Notamacropus eugenii: one gene and its partner. The protein of the gene in region 1 purifies or fractionates together with the protein of each later gene. This does not show direct contact. Links are inferred from orthologs where the notes say so. Each region holds a gene or a part of one and is shown in the gene's direction. Other genes may lie near its edges.

Region 1 (10,181 bases):
GAGCAAAACTAGGACAACATTATACAAAGTAACAGCAACATTGTAACAACAATCAAAATACTATACACAGTAACAGCAATATTGTAACAACTATGAACTGTGAAAGACTTAACTTTCTGGTTAATGTCTGTGACCATTCCAAAGGACTCATGATAAAAAATGTCATCCGTTGGTAGAGAGAGAACTGATGAACTCTTGAGTACAGATTGAGGTAATTTTTTCCACTTTATTTTTCTTGCTTTTTTTTTCTCTTGCAATGTAGCTAATGTGTAAATGTGTTTTGCGTGACTTCATATGTATGATTGTTAATCATATTTTTTGTCTTCTCCATGGCTGAAACAGTAAAGAGAATTTAGAACTGAAAATAACTTTTTGTAAATGTCATTCTTAAATGTTTATGGATCAATGTCCATCTTGGTGGTGATGAGCAACAGTTCTGCCTGCAATGACGCTCTGGTTTCAGTGCAGTTTATTTGATAAATACACAAAGATATTTTGGGAGTTCACTTATCAGCATCATCATTAGTGTTGCACTTGGTACTGTTATTACGGTCATATCACTCTTCTCTTCTTTATAGGATCAAAGGTTTGAAATCAGAATAGAATAAGAAAATGTTTGCAAACCTCAAAGTGCCATGTACACCTCTGCTCGCAGTGGCAGCAGTATGACACAGTGGAACGAGCCCTGGATTTGGGGTCACAGCTTCCCATTCCTAGCTCTCCCCAGTGATGTTGGACACAGAGAGTTGGACCAGATCACTTCCAAGGGTCACTTGTAGCTCCAGAACTATGATTCTGGGATGTTTACATGTTGTCTGTCTTGCTTCCTGCTCCTGGCATAATATGCGTTCCCAGTGCTTAGCATGACATTCAGCAGATAGTAGGCACTTAATAAATGTGGCAACTAAGTGGCCTAGGAAATAAGAGTGCTGGACTTGGAAAAACATGAGTTCAAGTGCTAACTCATACTTACTGAGTGACCTCTTTGAGCCTCACTTTCCTTAACTATAAATTAGGGGTAATAATAACACTTTCACAAAGTTGTTGTAAGGGTCACATGACAGCACAAAGTGCTTTTCAAACTTTTATATAAGAGCCAGCTATTATTATAAATTCTTATTTATTGATTTATGGAGATAATTAGAGAAGATTACCTATTTTACAGGTAAGGATACCAAGGTAAAGAGGTTGAGATGTCAGAAGTGGAATCACAAGATCTCAGTTCAGCCTTAGGGTACAGAACTGTAATAAAATAATAATTTACCTTTATATACAAACCCCACAGCTTTCTAGGCCTTTGGGTTTAGAAAGCACTTTCCTTGCAAGTTCTATAATGCCTAAAAATATGTAGTACCCTTCTATTTCTGGTAGTGCTAGAAGAGATAACTGGGATTGGCTGCTACACATGGTGTAAATGTACTTCCAGAGAGAAAGTGGCCATTGGTCCTTCAAGTGCAACACCCTGGAACGATCACTGACAAGTTGCTCCGTGGCTGTGGCCTAACCAGTTTCCACCTTGCTTCACCTGGTGCATTACCATACACAAGAATTTTTGTTTGCTTGCTTCATGGTTGTTGGGTTTGTTTTTTTTTTTAAATCTTCTTCCAGGTATCAATCAAAACCTCATGCCAGCCTCCACTCCTTGGAAATAATGAAATAAGATGACGTATGTGATTCTTTCAGCTGGGCAGTACAATGTGACCTGCATCTGGCTGGAGAAATTAATCTGTTTCCAGTCCTCAGGCCGAATTCTCCAGGGCAGTTGAGCTGGCTCTCCCCTGTTCCTCTCAGGGTGTGCTCTGTCTCTATAGATAGACAAAATGTTTTGCTTTGGCAACCTGCTGCAAGAAAGCTGCTTGCCTCTGAAAACCTAATTTGCACATATTTTGTTCATGGATTCCATGCAGAGGTCCCTCCTCTCCACCTCCAGTTAAGTGGGGGTCCCTTTATATTTGGGGAACTTCCTTTATGTCAGGGAGACGTGGGTTTTGTGAAGAATATGTGAACAAAATATCTGCAGCTAAAGTGTAGGCTTTGGAGCAAAATGGTCCTCCTTTTCCCTGTTGGAGAAAGTGACAGAAAAGAAAATATACCTAACATTATGGCATCAATGCCTCCATCTTCCCAACCCTGGAGCTGCTGAGAACTAAGTACTCAGGCACTCTATGGTACTCCAATAGCTATTTAAAAGTTCTCAGATCACAACCTGTGATTTCTAATGCAGACAAGAGTTATCATAAGACCAAGAGTGGGAGTTAAAAATAATAATAATAAATTACTATGCCACTCTCCCCTCTTCTTTTACCAGGAAAGTATTCATTAACCCTCACCAGGCAGAGTGCAATCTTCTTAAGGGAATTTTCAGATGAAGAAATGGAGGCACACTGAGTTGACTTGCCTGAAGCCACATCGGTATTGGATAGAGCTGAGATTTAAAGACAGTTTTTCTGATTTCAGATTTAATGCTCTTTCCACTACCCCAGGATGCCTCTAAAACAGGAGATAATGGGACAGGTTGGGGAGGGAATCTGATAGCTATCTTCAAGCATTCAGAGGGCCTTCATATGCTGGAAGGATAAGATTTCTGTTTGCCATCCCCACTCCCACCCCAGGCACTAAGAGCAGTAGGTTGAGATTGTAAAGAAAAACTTCCTAATGAGTAGAGCTATCCAAAGTGAACTGAGGCTGATCACAGGCTTTCAGAGTTGAAAGAAACTTCAGCATCCATACAAATCCACCTCTTCCAAAGAGTCCCCTCTTCTTCAAGATGATGGGGGACCCCTCTAATTCCCATAGCAGACTATTCTCCTTTTGGACAACTCTTTTGCTAAGTTTTTCATTAAGTGGAACCCTAACATGCCTTTCTGAATCTTCAGTTCACTGCCTCTTTAGTTCTGCCTCTTGGGACCAAGGAGAACAAGCTTGTTGCCTCTGCTTGGTCATCAGATATTTAGAGTGCTAGCATGTCCCAGCTAAGCCTTTGCTAGGTTAAATAGGCCTAGTTCCTTCCACCAATCCTCACGGGGCAAGGTTTCACATTTCTTTCTGGTTGCCCTCTTCCGAACATGTACCCAGCATATCAATGTCCTGCCTAAAATGTGATATGCAGAACTGAACACAATACTGCAGATGTGGTTTGACCAGAGTAAAGGACAGTGGGATTACTGCCCCAGGAGGGTATTTTCCTTTCTTACTTTTCCACCTCCTGTTGCCTTAGTGATTTTCATCACAGACACCCCAATTCAGAGAATTCTGAGGTTAGTCAATGTCAAGTAATAAGAGGGTAATGGTGAATAGCACCTTAATCGAATGATACCAAGATCAATCTTGAACAATTCCCTTAACCTCCCTGGGTCTGTTTCCTCATTTCTAAAATGGACCTCTAAAGTTGTCTAAATCATTTGAATACCCAATGGATATGGCTCCTTTCCAGTTGTTCCAATTGGAGCTTAGTGGTTTCTGGGCTACCTCCAGATGAGTCCTCTAGATAAGTCTTCACACACTCCATCATCCTGAGGGGCATGGTATACTTTGCAAAAGCACCAGAGTTGGATTCGGAGGAGCTCCAGGTTCCCTCTGACACTGTGTGATCACGAACAAATTACCTAATCTGCTGAGCCGGATTTCTCAACTGTGAAATGAGGTATTAATAACTATGGTACTTAACTCACAGATTTGTTGTGAAGCTCAAATGAGACAACATAAAGCAATCTGCAATTTGTTGCAATTCATCTAATCTCACCAAACTACATTTTCCGGTAAGTCTCTCTGTTTTTAGTACTAGAGTAATATTGGGTCACCATCAGAAAGTCAACAAACATTTATTAAGCACTTACCATGTGCCAGGCACATAGGTGCTGAGAATATAAAGGCAAAAATGTTTCCTCACCTCAAGGAACTCACATCTTGTCCAGGGTCACACAGTTAGTGTCTGAAGATGAATTTGAACTCAGATCCTCCTGACTTGAGGGCCAGTGCTACCTGCCCCTAGCTCACATCTTAATGAGACAAGAAGCAAGAAGTCCATAGTACATGTGGAAGGCAATTCCTTCATTCTTTACCTCACCCTAACCCCCACCCTCAGTGATGTAGTGGAAAAAAAACAAAACCCAGTAAGACTGAGATTCTAGTTTCAGCTCCCCTACTTCCCAGGTGTGACCTTGATTGTCACTCAATCCCTAAACCTTAGTTACCTCATTTACAAAATAGGATTGATCATACTTACCCTGCCTAGCTTCTTGAGCACAGGAACAGTTTCAGTTTCCTTTTTTTACCCTCAGCAACTAGCATCTGGTGCTCAGCATCTAACAAGTGCTTAGTAAATACTTAGTTAATTGGTGCTTTATAGGATTGAGGATCACATAAAAAGTGCTATAATGTGGATTTTGTCAGTCTTCTGAAGAAGTTGGCATGAGGGAATTATGAAGATTCACATATACAATACCACTGTTCCTCCTAGGATATTCCAGGCTGGAGGCAGATTTCAAACTTTGACACACTAGACAAGCACTGGACTTGCAGACAGAAGATCTGAGTTCTAGTGTAGACTACTTATGATCTGCATGACCTTGGACTGACTGGAAGGGGAGATATTGGGGATGCAACCTCAAAAGGAATCAATACTGCCACCGCCTCCCCCCCCCCCCCAAGCTAATATGTTCTCCACTTCACACACTGAGAAGCCTAGCTTCCAGGAACAGAAAACTAATGGGCCTTTGCACTGGTCAGAAGATAATCTGGAACACTCTCTTCTATTGGTGGGAAGTCCATCATGGATCAAGTGGAGGATGTACAGAAGGAGGTGAAGGGCTTTGAATCCACATCCTATGAAGTTGCGTTGAAGTTGTGCTTGACCCGAGGGCAGAACCGGGGGCCAGGAAGCAGGATTTGGAGGTTGGACAGCAGGAAGAACTTCCTAGCTCTAAGATCTGTACGGGAATGGTATGGTGTTCAAGGTTCAAAGGGTTCTTCTTCACCAGAAGCCACATGGCCCCTGTCAACAGGTCAATTAACACCAGGAAGGGACTACTATGTGCTGGGCACTGGGTACAACAGAGGACAAAAGCGGTCCCTGCCCTTGGGGAGCTCACAGTCTCACGGGGAAGGGAGACAAGGGCTAGCCGGGGAAAATGGAGATTATCCCGGAGACAAGTCCTGGTGGGCCCAGGCTAGGCCTCGTGGGAGGCCTTAGGGAACCGGGCGGCCGGGTGCGGGCACAACATCCGGAGCCGCGACCCCTAAGGTGCTCCAAGGCCCTGCCCGGCCCTCTCTCGGCTTTTCATGACCAGATGTCTCTGCACTCCCTCCAGAGGAGGCCCAAAGCCTGCGCCTACACGGCCCGCCATGCCCGCTCCGGAACGGCACGCCGGCGGCTCCAGGGCGCCTGCGCCTTGAGCTCCTCGAGCCTCGATCCGGGCCCTAGGAGACGGTCGGAGGGGGCGGGGCCCGTGCGTCGGCCCGGGCGGCGTGGGTGAGGGAGTCGGAGGAGGGCTGGAGACGAGGAGGAAAGGGAGGGGCGGGGGTGAGGAGCGAGGAGGAAAGGGGAGAGAAGGGGGAGGCAGGGGGCGTGGCCCGGCCGCCGGCGCCGCGCTGGTGCCTCTCGGCCAATGAGCGGCGTCCACATGCCGCGGCGGCGAGAGGGGAGGCAGCAGCGAATAAATGCTATTCGAGCCGCCGCCGCCGCCGCCGTCGCTGCCGCGCCGCTCGCTCCCGTCCCCGACGCCGCCACCTTCGCCGCAGTCTCCTCCTCGGGTCACCGCCGCCGCGGCCCTCTGGGGTGGGGGCTCCGCGGAGGGAGCGAGCGCCGCTCCGGCTAGATAGAGCTCCCCGGGCGGCAGCGTCGGGGCGACCGCGGGGCCCAGCGCCCGGCCGGCAGGCGGGCGAGCGAGGCTCGAGGCGCGGGGCCGGGCCGGGCGGCGGTTGGCGATCGAGGCACGGTCCCGGGCTCGGGCAGGCGCCGGGAGAGCCGACCGGAGCGGAGCCGGGCGGGGGACGGCGTCACCTGCCCAGGGGCCGCGGGGGGGAGGGCGCCCGTGGGGTGATTCAGCGCTCGGCCGAGCGGAAGGAGGCGGCCGAGGAGGAGGAGGCGGCGGCGCCGCGGCTGCTGCTGCTCCTGCTGCGGGCGGGGGGAAAGCGCTGGAACCGGCCCTCCCATCGCCTCCTCCGCTGCCGGCGGCCCAGCCGAGCCGAGCCGAGCCGAGCCAGCCGGGCCGAGCGCGTCCTAGCGGGCCGGGAGCAGGCGGAGGCGGCCCCGGGCGGGCTCGGGCTCGGGCTCCGCAGCCATGGAGAACGCGCACACCAAGACCGTGGAGGAGGTGCTCGGCTACTTCGGCGTCAACGAGAGCACGGGGCTGAGCTTGGAGCAGGTCAAGAAGCTCAAGGAGCGCTGGGGCTCCAACGGTGCGTGCCCGCAGCAGCTCGCCCGCTCGCCCGCTGCGGCCGGGAGGGGGAGGGGGCGGCTGACACCCGCCCGCCCAGGGGCTTCAGCCTTCCCCTGCCGGGGGTTACCCAGCCCATCCAGCCCCCTTTGGGCCTTGCCCGTTTTTCGGAGGACAGGCTCCCTCTAGTTGGGGGCCCAGGCCTTCCCTGCCGCCCCCCACCCTTGTAGGTTGCCCGCTTTGCGCAAGAGGGGAGGGGGATCCACGCTTTTCAGCCATCTCCCCATATTGGGGTCTCCCGTGGCCTTTTATCCGGGGCTCCCCCGGGAGGGTGAGATGGCAGCCCCTCCTAGCGGGGTCCCCGGGCTCCCCTCCCCACCTCTGCGGAGGAGGGGGCCGTCGGGGGCCGGGGCCGGGAGTCTGGGCGTGTAGAGTCCGCATCGGGCTGGAAAGGCGGCCTAAGAGAGAGGGAAGATGGCTGACTGGGGCTCCACCTCGTGGGTCTCTCCCACCCGGGCTTCCCCGCCCCGGTTGTCGCGGCGAATCCCCCCACCCGGAGGAACCTTCCCCACGTGGGGAGGGGGGCTCGGGAGGGCCCCGCAGTGCCATGCCTGCCATTGTCGTTTCCCAGTTCCTATCCCTTGACGACCTTTTTGTGCCTCGATGAATCACCCACGCAGCTCCAGCCCTCGTCTGGGGAATGAGAAAGTGATCCATGGGCTGTCAGGAGAAATCGGGCTTCGGGCTTAGAGGAGCCTCTGACCTTCTGGGCTCCCCAGAGGCACCCCCACACACACATCTGGCAGGGGGGTGACCTGGTTAAAATGGCTCCTTTTTTAGGGTCCCCTCCTTAAGTGGCTGGATTTCACTCTGAGATGTAGGCACAAGGTCATTAACCGAAAAAAAAAAAATTGTATCTTTCTGTTAATTGTCACCTACAGGAAGGATGGTCGTTGTCTTCCAGAATGGAGAATGTTTAAATTTTAACAATTTTTCTTACAGAAAAACCGAATGTTAACGTTTTCTTTTTTTCTTTTCTCTCTTGCTTTCTTGCAAATCTCTGCATACAACAGAATTGCCAGCAGAAGAAGGTAAGTCATTGGCTTCAAAGTTTCTTTTCATTGTTTCTTGCCGAGGCTATTAAGATAACTATTTTAATAATTTGCGTTTGTTATTATAGGGAAAACCTTATTGGAGCTTGTAATTGAACAGTTTGAAGATTTATTAGTTAGAATTTTACTGCTGGCAGCCTGTATATCTTTTGTAAGTATAAAACATTTCTTTTTATTTTTTTTTAAGTATTGGTCGGCCAAATGTTGCAGGGATGAAACTTATAAAACTAAAAGCAGAAAAATGGGTAATAAGCAAAGAAGCCACAGTCAAAGTATTTTGTCTTGGTGTGAGCCATTTGTATTTATATAATGCAGACTATTGGTTTTTTTAGAAAGTAAATGCATGCTTCAGTCTAAGGGGTGTTTTGGTTTTTGGGTTTTTTTTTTAACTAAGGGGGTTAAAGCTAATTGGATTTTCCAAAAACATACTGTAGGGCCAAATAAGCTTCTAAAGCCAAAGTTTTGGTTTTTTTAATTACTAGGCGTTTAATTTTATTTTTAAATCTTGGCTTCTCCTTATTAACAGTTTGTAAGATCACATGAAGATGATGATGGGGTCATTGTCATCTGTAAATAGCACTTAGCCGAGGAGTATTCCCAGTTGTTTTCCCTTTCTGGTAATAGCAAGGTGACAGTTGCTTCTGACAGGGACAAGAATGATGACGCTGGTGATGGCTCTGGGGTTGACCAAATTTGGTCACTGCCCTTCTGGGTGGTGGTATGTTCATCTAAATTGTACCCCCCACCCCACCCCCTTTCTCTGACTTGACTGAGTACCAAGCAGATAGAATGCCTCAGCTGGACAGGACAAAGTTCAGCTTGCCCTGATCCATAGACAAAACGTTTGAACTGGGCAGTTTCCTGGTTGTGTTAGCTGGGGAGTCTACGTTTGCATGCAGGAGCTGGTGGGGTTGCTAAGAAACGAGAGAGATGCAGAGAATGAAAGCCTACGGAGGGGATGGGGGCGAATGTGTTCTTGATAAGTTATTAACCAATTTGTTCTCTGTGGGTTATTCTTTTTTTGAGCCCAGAGAACATTTGTTCCGTGTGGTAGATAGAGGCCTTCACACACTTGTAAGGAAGGCTTGGAAAACTCAATTCTCTGGATGAAATAAAATAATCTCATTCACAAAAATGTTTCTTCTCCCCACCACTTGAGGACAGGAAGGATTGGTCTTGATGTGACCACATCTGCTGAGGCGGCATGTGCGCCTCTGATTTTTCAGCCAGGCATGGCTTTAGAAAACCCTGACACAGCCCACTCGAGGTGAACTCCTTGGCAGTTGGGTGTGCTGCCCCATGGGCCACCTTCATCTTTCCTCTATCTTTTCTCTGTCTTATCTTTCAGCAGAAGGAGATTTGAACAGGCAGAGCTATTGACTTAGAATGGCAGGTGTCCGAGTTGTTTTCCAAATGGTAGATCTAGGAGGAGCAAACATTCATAGACACAGTCTTAGTCCTATAAGCCCTTTCCCAGGGAGTGTAGTGCAGTCAGAATTGCCGTGAGTGCCATTAATTACCTTTAGGGTCTGCCTTTGGTTTCTTCTCTTGGAGGAAAATTGAGGCATGATATCACAACAAATGGTTTGCGGAGCCTGGTGAATTGCTCCCAACCTCCTAATATGACCTTTTTCTCCCATATTTTTTTAAACTTAAATTACACAGTTTAACTCCAATATATCTGAGAAAATTAGAATCATCTTTTGTATAGATTAATCAGTTTGCATTTTAAAGGATTAGTAGCTTGTTACCACTAACATGTACTTGCACTTCTAACTGCAAATACTGTGTGGATTCATTCAGGGACTAAGCAGAGCTGCTAATAGTCTTGAATAGTTTACAGAAGGAATAAACAGGCAGCCAAAGCACATTGGAAATGACTTTGCCTCCTTGAACTAATCGCAATTTGTTGAGAAGTAGAATAAAATATGAATTTGATTTAACTTCGCAAAACAAGGCAGAGTGAATATTTAGACTGGTGCATGTCTTACACCTTTAGATGGCTAAAATGGTTTTTGAAATCTCATTTCTGGGCCAACACAGCTTTGTACTTGGGTCTCTTGATGCCACCAGGGACCACTGAGATGTTACATCAGAAGCATGGTCATGTGTACATTAAAGCAAAATTAATCTTAGCTGCTGAGTTGTTGGTGTTGGTAATACCCAAGACAGAGATCAATATTGGAAGTTTTAATTGAGCTCTCTCTCTCTCCTCTTTCTCCCCCTGTCCCCCATATCTATATGCGGAGAAAGAGGGGGAGTCTATCTGTATATTATAGAGTATATTTTAAACTTTAGCATGTGATGGATGTTGAAAGCATAGTTTATTGTAAAAATTTAATAGAGTTTATGGTTTCTGGAAATTCACGTACTCATTTTCAGAGTATTTCAAGCAGCATCTTCTTTAACCTTTCCAAACCACCATTCTTGTGGTCACTGGGAATTGTCCAACATCTTCATCTTTTTTGAATTTTGATTCTCTGATGGCTGCAGTACAATGAGTCTTGTCATGCATTCGAATCTCAGTTCTGTCATTTCATAACTGTGTGACCTTGAGCCATTAAACTTGTCTCTAAGCTTTCTTTTTTCTCATCTATAAAATAAAGAGGTTAGATTAGACGATACTCAGAAAGTTCCTTTGAGTTCTGAATCCTGTGATTCTTTGATAAAAAATGACTAGGAAACAATTTGA
Region 2 (10,528 bases), on another chromosome or scaffold:
GGTCCAATCATCCTTACTATCCTCCCATTTCTCTTCCCCTTGCCTGCTACACTCCTTGAGAAACTTGTTTACACTAGGTGCTTCATCTTCTCACTCTCTTCTACACTCTCCGCACTCTGGCTTCAGACCTTCACATTCAACTGAAGTTGCTCTCTCCAAAATAACCAAAAACCTCTTAAACTGCTGGAGTCAATGGGTTCTTCTCAATACTCATCTTTAACTTTTCCACAAACCCTAAAACTGTTGCCACCTTCTCTTCTTAATCTCCTCTCTGAGTATGTATTCTAAGTATTTTACTTTGTGCAGTAACAAACATTATTCTGAGAATCAACAGCCTTAACCACACTGCCAAAGGGGTAAAGACAAAACATGGGAAAAGATTCAAGGAAACAGCCAGATGGAACACTGAAGTCAACAGTGAATGGTTTTCTCTGTTTGTTTGGGGGGGGGGCAGAATGGTTAAAGGAGTGCTCTCTTGGATTTATACTAAGGCTCTGTCCTAGGGTGCTCTTCTCTCCAGTGATACAGTCACCACCATAGATCAAGCCCTCATTCACTTTAGCCTGAACTATTGTAACAGTTTTCAAAGCTGGGACTCCCTACCTCATGTGAAAAAAAAAAAGTTAAAGGAGATGAGGCCCTCTAGAGGTCCATGGGTACCGCCTTTTGATTGAGTTTTACACAACAGATTCTTTTATTATAAGGGGATTTGTTCTGTGAAGTTTGGATTAAGTCAAAAGGCCACATCTGAGGACCTATGGGGCCACATGTGGCCTGATGGCCATAAGTTCCCCATCTCTGGACTGGGCATTAGGCTGTATAAAACAATCAATAAATATTGATTAAATGTCTTTAAAGCCAATTTCATACAATTTATGAATCAGTTCCCTTTTTGCCAGATACTGTGCTAGACACTGGCAATAAAGTACAAACAATGGTATTTCCACACTTACAAGGAGCTTCTATTCAGATGAGGGTCAGCTGAAAGAAATGAAAGATTTAGCCTGGAGAAGAAAACTTAACAGGAGCATAACAGTTATTTTCAAATATCTGATTGTGAAGTGGTCTTCCAAAAGTAGACTTATTCTGTTTTGGTTCCAAGAAGTAAAACAGGAATAATAAGTAAGATTCAGTGTCAGAATTAGAGATGATATAAAAAAAATCTTAATTAGAAGTAGGATAGGATCATCTGGGAAGTACTGGGTTCTCCTTCAGTAGATGTTTTTAAAAATATACTGCATGACTCACACACTGAAGAAATCTTTATTCTGGTATGAGTTTGACCTAGCCTATGAAATCTTTTTCAGCTCTAAGATTCTCAAAAACATTTGCTTTTAAGAAATACATGAGTATGCAGAGTTTGGTTGCACTTTGGGCATAGTTCCAAATTGCTCTCCAGAATGGTTGGATCAGTTCACAACTCCAACAGCACATTAGTGTCCCAATTTTCCCACATCCCTTCCAACATTTATCATTTTCCTTTTTTGTCATATTAGTCAATCTAATAGATGTGAGATGGTATCTCAGAGTTGCTTTAATTTGCATTTCTCTAATCAAGTGATTTAGAGCACTTCATTTGCCTATAGATAATTTTGGTTTCTTCTGAAAACTGCCTGTTCATATCCTTTGACCATTCATCAATAGGGAAAAATGGCTTGTAGTCTTTATAAGTTGGACTCAGTTCTCTTTATTTGAAAAATGAAGCCTTTATCAGAAATACTTACTATAAAGATTGTTTCCTTCTAATCTAGGTTGCACTGGTTTTGTTTTTGTTTGTGTTTATTTTTAATTTATTATAATCAAAATTACTTTTTTTTTCTATTTTGTAATGCTCTATCTCGTTTGATCAAAAATTCTTCCCTTCTCTATAGATCTTACAGGCAGACTATTTTAATGTCTAAATCATGTATCCCTTTTGACCCTATCTTGGTAGTATGGTATGAGATATTGGTCTATATCTAGTTTGGGCCCTATTGTTTTCCAGTTTTCCCAGCAGTTTTTGTCAAATAGTGAATTTTTATCCCAGAGGCTGGGGTCTTTGGGTTTGTGAGACATTTAATTACTGTGGTAATTTACCACTATGTCTCGTAAACCTAATCTATTCCACTGATCCACCACTCTATTTCTTAGCCAGTAGCAGATAGTTCCGATGATTACTGCTCTATAATATAGTTTGAGATCTGGAACTGCTAAGTTACCTTCCTTTGTATTTTTTTCATTAATTCCACTGATATTCTTGACCTTTTGTTCTTTCAGATGATTTGTTACTTTTTTTCTACCTCTATCAAATAATTTTGGGGAAGTTTGGAATGGCACTGAATAAATAAATTATTTTAGAGAGAACTGTCATTTTCATGATATTGGTTCAGCGTATCCATGAGCAACTGCTATCTTTCTAATTGTTTGGATCTGACATTACTTGTATGGAAAGTGTTTTGTAACTGTGCTCATATAGTTCCTGGGTTTGTCTTGGCAGGTAGGTTCCTAAGTATTTTATATTGTTTACAGTTATTTTAAATGGAATTTCTCTTTTTATCTTTTGCTTCTGGGCTTTATTGGTCATATAAAGAAATACTGCTTATTTATGTCTTATATGCTGCAACTTTGATAAGTTGTTTCTTAGTTGATTCTCTAGGGTTCTCTAGTATAGCATCACATCATACACAAAGTGATAGTTTTGTTTCCTCACTGCCTATTCTAATTCTATTCTAAGTGCCTTGAGGACAGGGGTTGTTTTTAACTTTCTTGGTATATAGCACAGTGCCTGGCATAGAGTAGGAGCTAAATATATGCTTGTTGACTTGGAAAGAATAAAAACTTCAAATTGAAATGCTGAGGCAATTCTAATGATTAATCTCAGCCTCCTCTTCCCTCTAACAGGAATGCTAGAGGGCAGAACACTAAGCTCCACCCAAAGCTTTCCTTTATCTACACATTTGCTTGGTCTCAAAATGCTCCCCCATCTTCTCCCTCTACACACATCTCTTCTGCCCCTACAATCTGCAAGGCCCAGACCAGTCAATCCTTTGCTCCTGCTTCTAACTCTGTATTTGTCCACCATGCTCCGATGAGTACCTTCCCCTGGATCTACTCCCACTCCTGTACCTAACACAAAGCTTGGCACATTGTGAGGGTTCAGTCAGAATCTCCTCCAACTCTAACCTCCCCCCTGTTCTAATGGTCAAGTTCCTCCTCAGAATCTACTCATACCAGCCATGAATACTTTTAATACCAGCTAAACCCTCAATCCTATTGACTACTACATTTCCTTGAAAGCAAACTCTTTCTGCGTGTGTGTGTGTGTGTGTGTTATTGTTCAGCATAGTGCCTAGAACACATAGCAACTCTAAGGCTCAGAATACATTCAAAAGCACACTGACATTTCTTAAGTGTTTGCACTCCTTGTTTTTTAAAAAGAGGCTTAGACTCTAAGACAAGAGTAGGCCAAACACAGGCATCTCTTCATACTTATACACAAAAGAGAAGAAATTCTTCGTTTGTACGTTGTTATTCCTACATACTATTTCTGCTAATTTTCTGAATCCCTAGGAAATTAATAAACAAATACATAATGAGCATATTAGAATTAAGCATACAGTAAACTTCTGGTTTATCAAACTAAATTACCACCAAACTCCATTTTCCAAGAATTGCAAACTTTCTTCTTTTTAATGACTTCAAATTTTTTCTTTTCCTAATAAAAAAGATATCCATCCAGATATGTTCGGATTTTAATAGATACCATCCAGATTTAAAACATCATTTTTTAAAGTTATCAAGAGTCTGTTGGCTTCTGTCTCTCCCCATTTGTCATAATATCAATATATACTGTAAATCTGTTTTAAATCTCCCATTCTCTGAATCTTCTGCTCTATAATAGTTCACAAAAGTAACAGAAATGTACTCTGGAATGAATGGGATTTAAAATTTTAGCTACACAACATTTTTCACTTGGAAAAAGTATTAAACACAAGAGAACAAGAGAAATATGAGGTTTTTAAAGTTCTGTAGGAAAAACTACTCATTTCATTCATTTTTATGTATACTTTTCAGGTATTCCATTTTTACTTTATTATATCCATAAAACATTTTCTCCCAAAATATTATTTTAAAATCAGTTTTCACTGGTTCTTTAAATAAATGGAGAATGAAAAAATGCTCCCAGATATGGATTCTTATCTTCCTCTGGAGGAATACCAGAAGATATCCATTTAAGGACACATAAAACAGCAGCTGCAGATTTTAAAGGCTACTTGATTTGCTTATGTAGAACTAATATCAATGCATATAAAAATGCAGAGTAAATGTACTATATTTTTTTTTTTTTACAAATTCCATAGTATACACTGAACACAAACAAAAATAAACAAGAAATCCCTAAAACAATACATCACTTTTTAAAAAAAGATTTTGGAATGCTTTTTGTACCTTAGAAATATTAAACTTAAGTTTTTATTTCTGAAAGCAGAAATTTTAAAATGCTTAAGCAAATTAATTACCTAGAAGAGATATATACCCATACACAACACACATATGCTAGCAATCACCCTTTAGCTGTTTTAATAAATTTTAATTTAAACTATATTTACATAGTAAGCATATGTCTATACATCCCTCCATATACATTAGCAAATTAGAGAGGCATAACCTTTGGGATCCAGCCTAAAAATAGCTGAAATAAGAATCCAGCAGAAACGCAGCATTTACATGTGAACATTGGTGAGACCAATGCTATGTAACAGAAATGAGTCAAATCTATGCCTACTCATTCCAGAGACCACGTTAGAACAGGAGTGTTAAAATCAATGGCTTGTGCTTTTGTTCTTGCTTAGCTTTCAAATAAATGACCTTTTTACAAAAACTTTAAAAAAAAAAAGAATTAAAAAGTGATTACCACTGAATGTATATGTATGCGTGTGTGTGTATGTATGCACATATGAACACGTACTAAGGATGTATCAATTTGTGTTTAAATGAAAAAAATTCAAAATTCTTTTAAACTTTTAATATTAGACAATCACAGAATTAAATATAAAACTGAACAGAGATAGCACTTTGGCCCAGTGACTCAATGGGAATGCATCTAATTAGAAGCATCAAGTTCCTTATTATTACTGCAACTTGAAAAGTTCTGTAAATAAATCACTTACTACTTGAAATTTTTACAATATGAAAATTTTATAATACACCAAAAACATCTAGGGGAGGGGATTCTTTAAAAGCTTTCTGAACAAAAACAAAACAAACTATCAAGAGCAAACATGGCACTCTCTTTTATATAAGAACCAGCCTTATAGTTCACCATTTGCTTTTTTCAATAAGTAAAATATCAAAGGCTGGTGACCTTTGCAGTTCTAAAGTAGTATTAATCACGGTTTCAGTGAGTTTGATTGGATAATCTCAGTGTTGAGGTATATAATAACCAATCACAACTTCTCAATTAGTGTATGACATCATGGGTCCTCCCTCTGAAACTTCTCTTTCTCCACCTACTTCAACTGTTTCCACAAATATAGTGACATTCAAAAAAAAGGTGCCAGTAAAACACGAGGACTTCAGACAACTGAGAGCATACTGCACTACATGTTTGCAATTATCTGAGCAGCCAAGGTAAGAGACTTATTTTTTAACTATCTTTGGTAACTCTTTAATCCACTACTCAGATTTTAGTCTTTTTTATATATGTTGAAACAAAGCCATTATGCTGTTTTTGAATGATTTGTATATTTTAGTTCTGAGCCAGACATCACTTAAAAATCTAATTAAAAAGTTTTGCTTCTAAATAAAAACACTTCCCCCAGAACACATTAATGCATATACCTCAGTTTCCCCATCTTTGAGAGGGGATAAGTCCTTTAAACACACACACACACACACACACACACACACACACACACAAAACACTTCAAGGTCAAAAAGTCCAAAAAGGACTAACATACCTTTAACACAAATTCATTTTATAAATACTAATTGTGAAATTATATTCACTTTTAGCATCTTTCATAATACTGTTATTATATACTTCCTCATTATCACTTCCTACTGAATAATTTTAACTGAAAAAATTAAGAGGTAACACAAGGATAGAACTTTTACTTACATCTTGTAGAATTGTAAACATTCCTGTGACTGTACAATACACTGATTTTTTCAGTAACAGTTACAACTCTTTATACTGAAATTAACAACTGAAGAATGTAAATGCCATAAACTTATTTCAAGGACTGTGTTTTTTTTGTTCAAGAGAAAATGCTTTTTTTAAAAAAGGAGCACTTCTACATGACCTAACACCATGTTAAAAATCGTGATCTAAGCTAAACTGAATACCAAGCATTAAAAGCTACTTGGTGATCCTCAAAATATTTATAGAACATAGGGAAAAATAGTCTTTCCTAATTAGAAAACAACCACTTGAATCTAATAATATAGAGTGCTTTCTGTTAGAATGAGAATTCTGGGCTGCTTCATTTGACTCTGCATGTGATTTAATATATTTCTGCCAATGACTGACTTTAAACCAGTTTTTTCCTTTCTATGTTCTTGTTTTCACTTGGGATAAAATATCGTTCTAACACATAATTTTACCTTCCTGCCCTAGGAATTTACTTGAAGCTTCAAGCATCACTATGATTTTTTTTTTTGAAAAGCGGGAACTTTGGTTTTCTCTACAACAGGGGTTCTTAACCTATTTTTGTGTCATAGAACACATTAACAAGCTGTAGAGGCTTATGGTCCTCAGAATAATGTTCTGAAATGTGTAAAAATAAAATACATAGGGAGGGAGATCAATTATTTTGAAACAAATTAATCAAAATATTAAAAATCAGGTTCACAGGTCCCAGATTAATAATCCCTGCTTAGCACAAATTTCATCTAAAGTTCCTTTCCACCTCTCACTGTGGTAGATATTTTACCTTAGTTTGTAGAGCTGTCTGTGCAAATAAGAAAATTTTAGCAAGCACTAACTACGGACCAGATAAGCTTTAAGAACAAATATGAGTTTTGAAGTCAAAGGACCTGGGTTGAAATTATTACTCTGCTACTTATTTGTGTACAATAGCAAGCCACTTCCAAGGCTCAGTTTCCTCATCTTCTAGAGTTGGCAGACCCCTTCTAGCTGTAAATTTATGATCTGATGTGCCATTTGTTTACATAATAATGGAGCTCTTTTAAGAATATGCTGTTTATTTCTATAAAATACTCTATCAGACACAAGAATACATATATACATATATATTTATACATGCACTTGTTTTAGAAATGATCAGATCACATCAAGATTAAATTAAATACCTTATATTTTAAGTTGGTGAGTTCCCATTAGAATTCAAAGAGCTAATCTCTAAAAGATTAACAAAATTTCAAAACCATGTACAACAAGGAGCTGGGGAAAATCCTGAATGAATAAATACACTGCTAAAAATCAATACGTTCTGTTTTATAACAGATTTTTATTTATACATGCTCAAGTTTAAAAGCAGTCTTTAAACTGAAAACTGGAACTTCTGGCTAAAAGTTGAATCAACAAATATAAGTTAACATCTAGGATGACTAACTTATATTCTTAGCATTAAAGCCAATTATCCATAGGCTAGCTCCCGAACATAATTTAAGATGTACCAGAAAAATGCAACGAGTGATAAAATTTAAGAGCTGAAAGAGATCTTAGAGTTGTCTCAGAACACCCCTAAATTTAAAACAAACTGATGACCAAAAGAATTCAGTGGCTTGCCAGAGCACACTGCTTCTATCAGAACTAAGACAAAAAAAAAGTCAGCACTCCTTCCTTATATTACTTTGCCCATCCTCATCTGATCAATTGACACCTGAAATCACAATAATGTGGATTTCATTCCACAACAAGATATAAAGTTTAAAATGTAAAATATGTGAGAGTTGATTTAAATTCACACTAAATTATAAATAACTAAAAGCTGACTTTTGTATAAGGTTTCAACTAGAGAATGACAGGAGAATGCAGGAGAAACAGTAGATATACCTTAAAAGAGAGAAAACAAAACAGGCCTAAAAAGGAGAGGTTGAGAGATTCCAAAAATCAACAGATCTCAAGAGTGCACTTGTATGCAAAGTACACTGCTAAGAAAAGCTGGGGAAGAGCGTTTAATTTCACTAATGTCACATAAGGGCCCTGCAGTTCAGGAAGGCTACCAGTGTTGGTTTCTCACATAAATTTTCTCTTCCTAAGCACACAGTGAAATGGTCAGACAATGATATCTGTACCACCTGACACACAATGAGTATTCAAGTTCTTTCACTTTACTGGCACTTCATTTTCTCACATACAGTTCCATATAAATAGAATATCACCCACAGGGCTGAAAAATACCATAAAATCCTATTATAAAACTAGTTTATCATAGTATAGGTTTCATTATATTGAGTCAAAGCATGTCCCTTTAGTAGGGCAAACTGCAAGGCAGCATGACAACATGTGTAAAGTAAAAGCCCAGTTGGAAGAACTCCTGGGATTCCTGTCCTGTCTCTAATAAAAGCTAGCTGTGTGACCAGGGACTGTCACCCTCTGCATCAGTTCCCTTATCTATAAAGAGGATATTAATAGCACATACCTCCCAGCGTTGTTGTGAAAATAAAATAAGATTTGTAAAGTGCTTTATATAAATATGTAAATATTTATATAAATATACATAGCATTATATAAATGCTAGCTATTTTATTACTTTTATTATTATTTTATTCCCTGGTCAGGTAGATATCAAAGGTCCATAGCACCACCACTACTGCTGCTGCTGCTGCTCACCTCATTTTGTTCCCATCCCCTCCCATTAAAGTATGCATGGAACTTATTAAGTTTCAGAAAGTGACATGTTTACTGATATTAATTACTTTTAAATCTCACTGCTGCTGCGTTAAAAGGAGAAATTAAAAGTCATTTGCTAATTGTTGATGGTAAATACATAAATAACATTTTAAAATTTGGCATGTGCTGATGCAGGATATTGTAAAAACAAAGGAGTAGAACCATTAAACAGAAGGAGTTAAATCTCCTAAAATATTGACATCATTACTGAAGAGAAATTAGGGTTTTTAATTTGTATTATTTCAATAATGAATTAAAATTTGTTTCAGAAGTCTTTAAATCTTAATTTTCAATTTATTAAATTTAAAATAAATTTAGAAATTAAATTGATAGTATTATTTTCTTAATGGACAAAATGTTCAACTTCTACCACCACAAGATACAGCGATGTGATTCATTTCTTTGTGTAACCTAAAAAAGTTATCTTCTAAACTGCCTTTTTTAATGAACAAATACAAATGTGCATATGATCCCTCATGACTGGAATGCTCTACTTCCTCAACTCCAGCTCGGAGACTCAGCTCAAATCCCCTCTCTGAAAATACCTTCCATATACTTTGTGTGTATATACGTATGTATACACACACACACAGCCAGAGTTTTCACCATTTTTTGTATCACCAGTTTCTGTCTAGCACAGTGCCTTCCATACAGTAAATGCTTAATACGTCCTCACATAAACTTGCTTGCTGATCTTAAATAGGCACTCATTGTTCATTTCTCAGGATTCAAATGGGTAAGTTGGAGTTGGGGGAGGGGGAATCACATAGGACTGACTGGAGGGTGCAACAATGTTGGCAGCTAGCTTTTTTTTTTTTTTTTGGTTCTTCATGCACTGACAAGTTAAAAAACTCAAATGACCTCTTTCTTAACCCTCTTCAAGCTGCCTTTCCCTCAGTGACCCTTGATTTCACTGTGAGATCTAGTAACATGAGAATTCCCTATGCAATTTCTCTACAGTTCTTATTGTACAGAGTCAATCAATTTTTCTGAAGTATCAATCAGACACATGGTTGACCAGAGGTGATCAGAGGTGTCACAGAGCAGATGTTTTCTTGAAGGGAAAGTATATTAAATTAGCTACAATATCATGGCTAAATCCCCAAGCCATATACATGGCCTTTCTTGTCACGGACAAAAAAGCAACACTAATACTCTCCCCTCTTCTTTTTCAACAATTATTTGTTTGCAATTCAAAAAAACATATAATAATTCAAACATTAAAAATTAAGACTAGACAAAAAGAAAATTTAAGCAGTAGTCTGAGGGCCTCTAGTGGTCATGTATGCTACCACCCAAACTGTGGCAGCCTTAATTATGTCTTTGTAGTTTCACATTTAAAAAGACTGAAAATAATATTATTGAAAATAATCAGCCAAAACTGCCTTCTGGATACAGACAAGAGTGATGATGTAAAACTGACTATGGATGACTCTTATGAATTCCCTTAATATCAATTTGCCCAAAAGCAACTGCAAGAAAAATCAACTCTATAAAGTAGTTAGTAATCAGATTATTTTATCCCAAAATTATCTAAAAACTATTAACCATATCTCTCTAAAGTGACTCAATTTGTAAAATAGACATATTATCAAATACAACCTTTAGGCCCAGTTATATTGACAGAAATATCCAGGCAGAAATAAAAAGAAAGTTTCATAAACTGCAGCTCTTCAGTCAGGGGATCCT

What was found.
Region 2: the proteins of ATP2A2 (region 1) and PLN purify together in Homo sapiens (affinity purification with western blotting; 4 studies listed by BioGRID). This does not show direct contact. The link is inferred for Notamacropus eugenii from reciprocal best matches to the Homo sapiens genes ATP2A2 and PLN.

What each region holds. Positions count from the first base shown.
Region 1 is NC_092875.1:36,064,584-36,074,764, reverse strand, and holds the start of ATP2A2 (sarcoplasmic/endoplasmic reticulum calcium ATPase 2), read left to right. Parts: upstream 1-6,149; 5' UTR 6,150-6,281; coding exon 6,282-6,399; intron 6,400-7,450; coding exon 7,451-7,468; intron 7,469-7,557; coding exon 7,558-7,640; intron 7,641-10,181.
Region 2 is NC_092873.1:200,444,365-200,454,892, forward strand, and holds the start of PLN (phospholamban), read left to right. Parts: upstream 1-5,505; 5' UTR 5,506-5,610; intron 5,611-10,528. UniProt on the Homo sapiens protein: Reversibly inhibits the activity of ATP2A2/SERCA2 in cardiac sarcoplasmic reticulum by decreasing the apparent affinity of the ATPase for Ca(2+).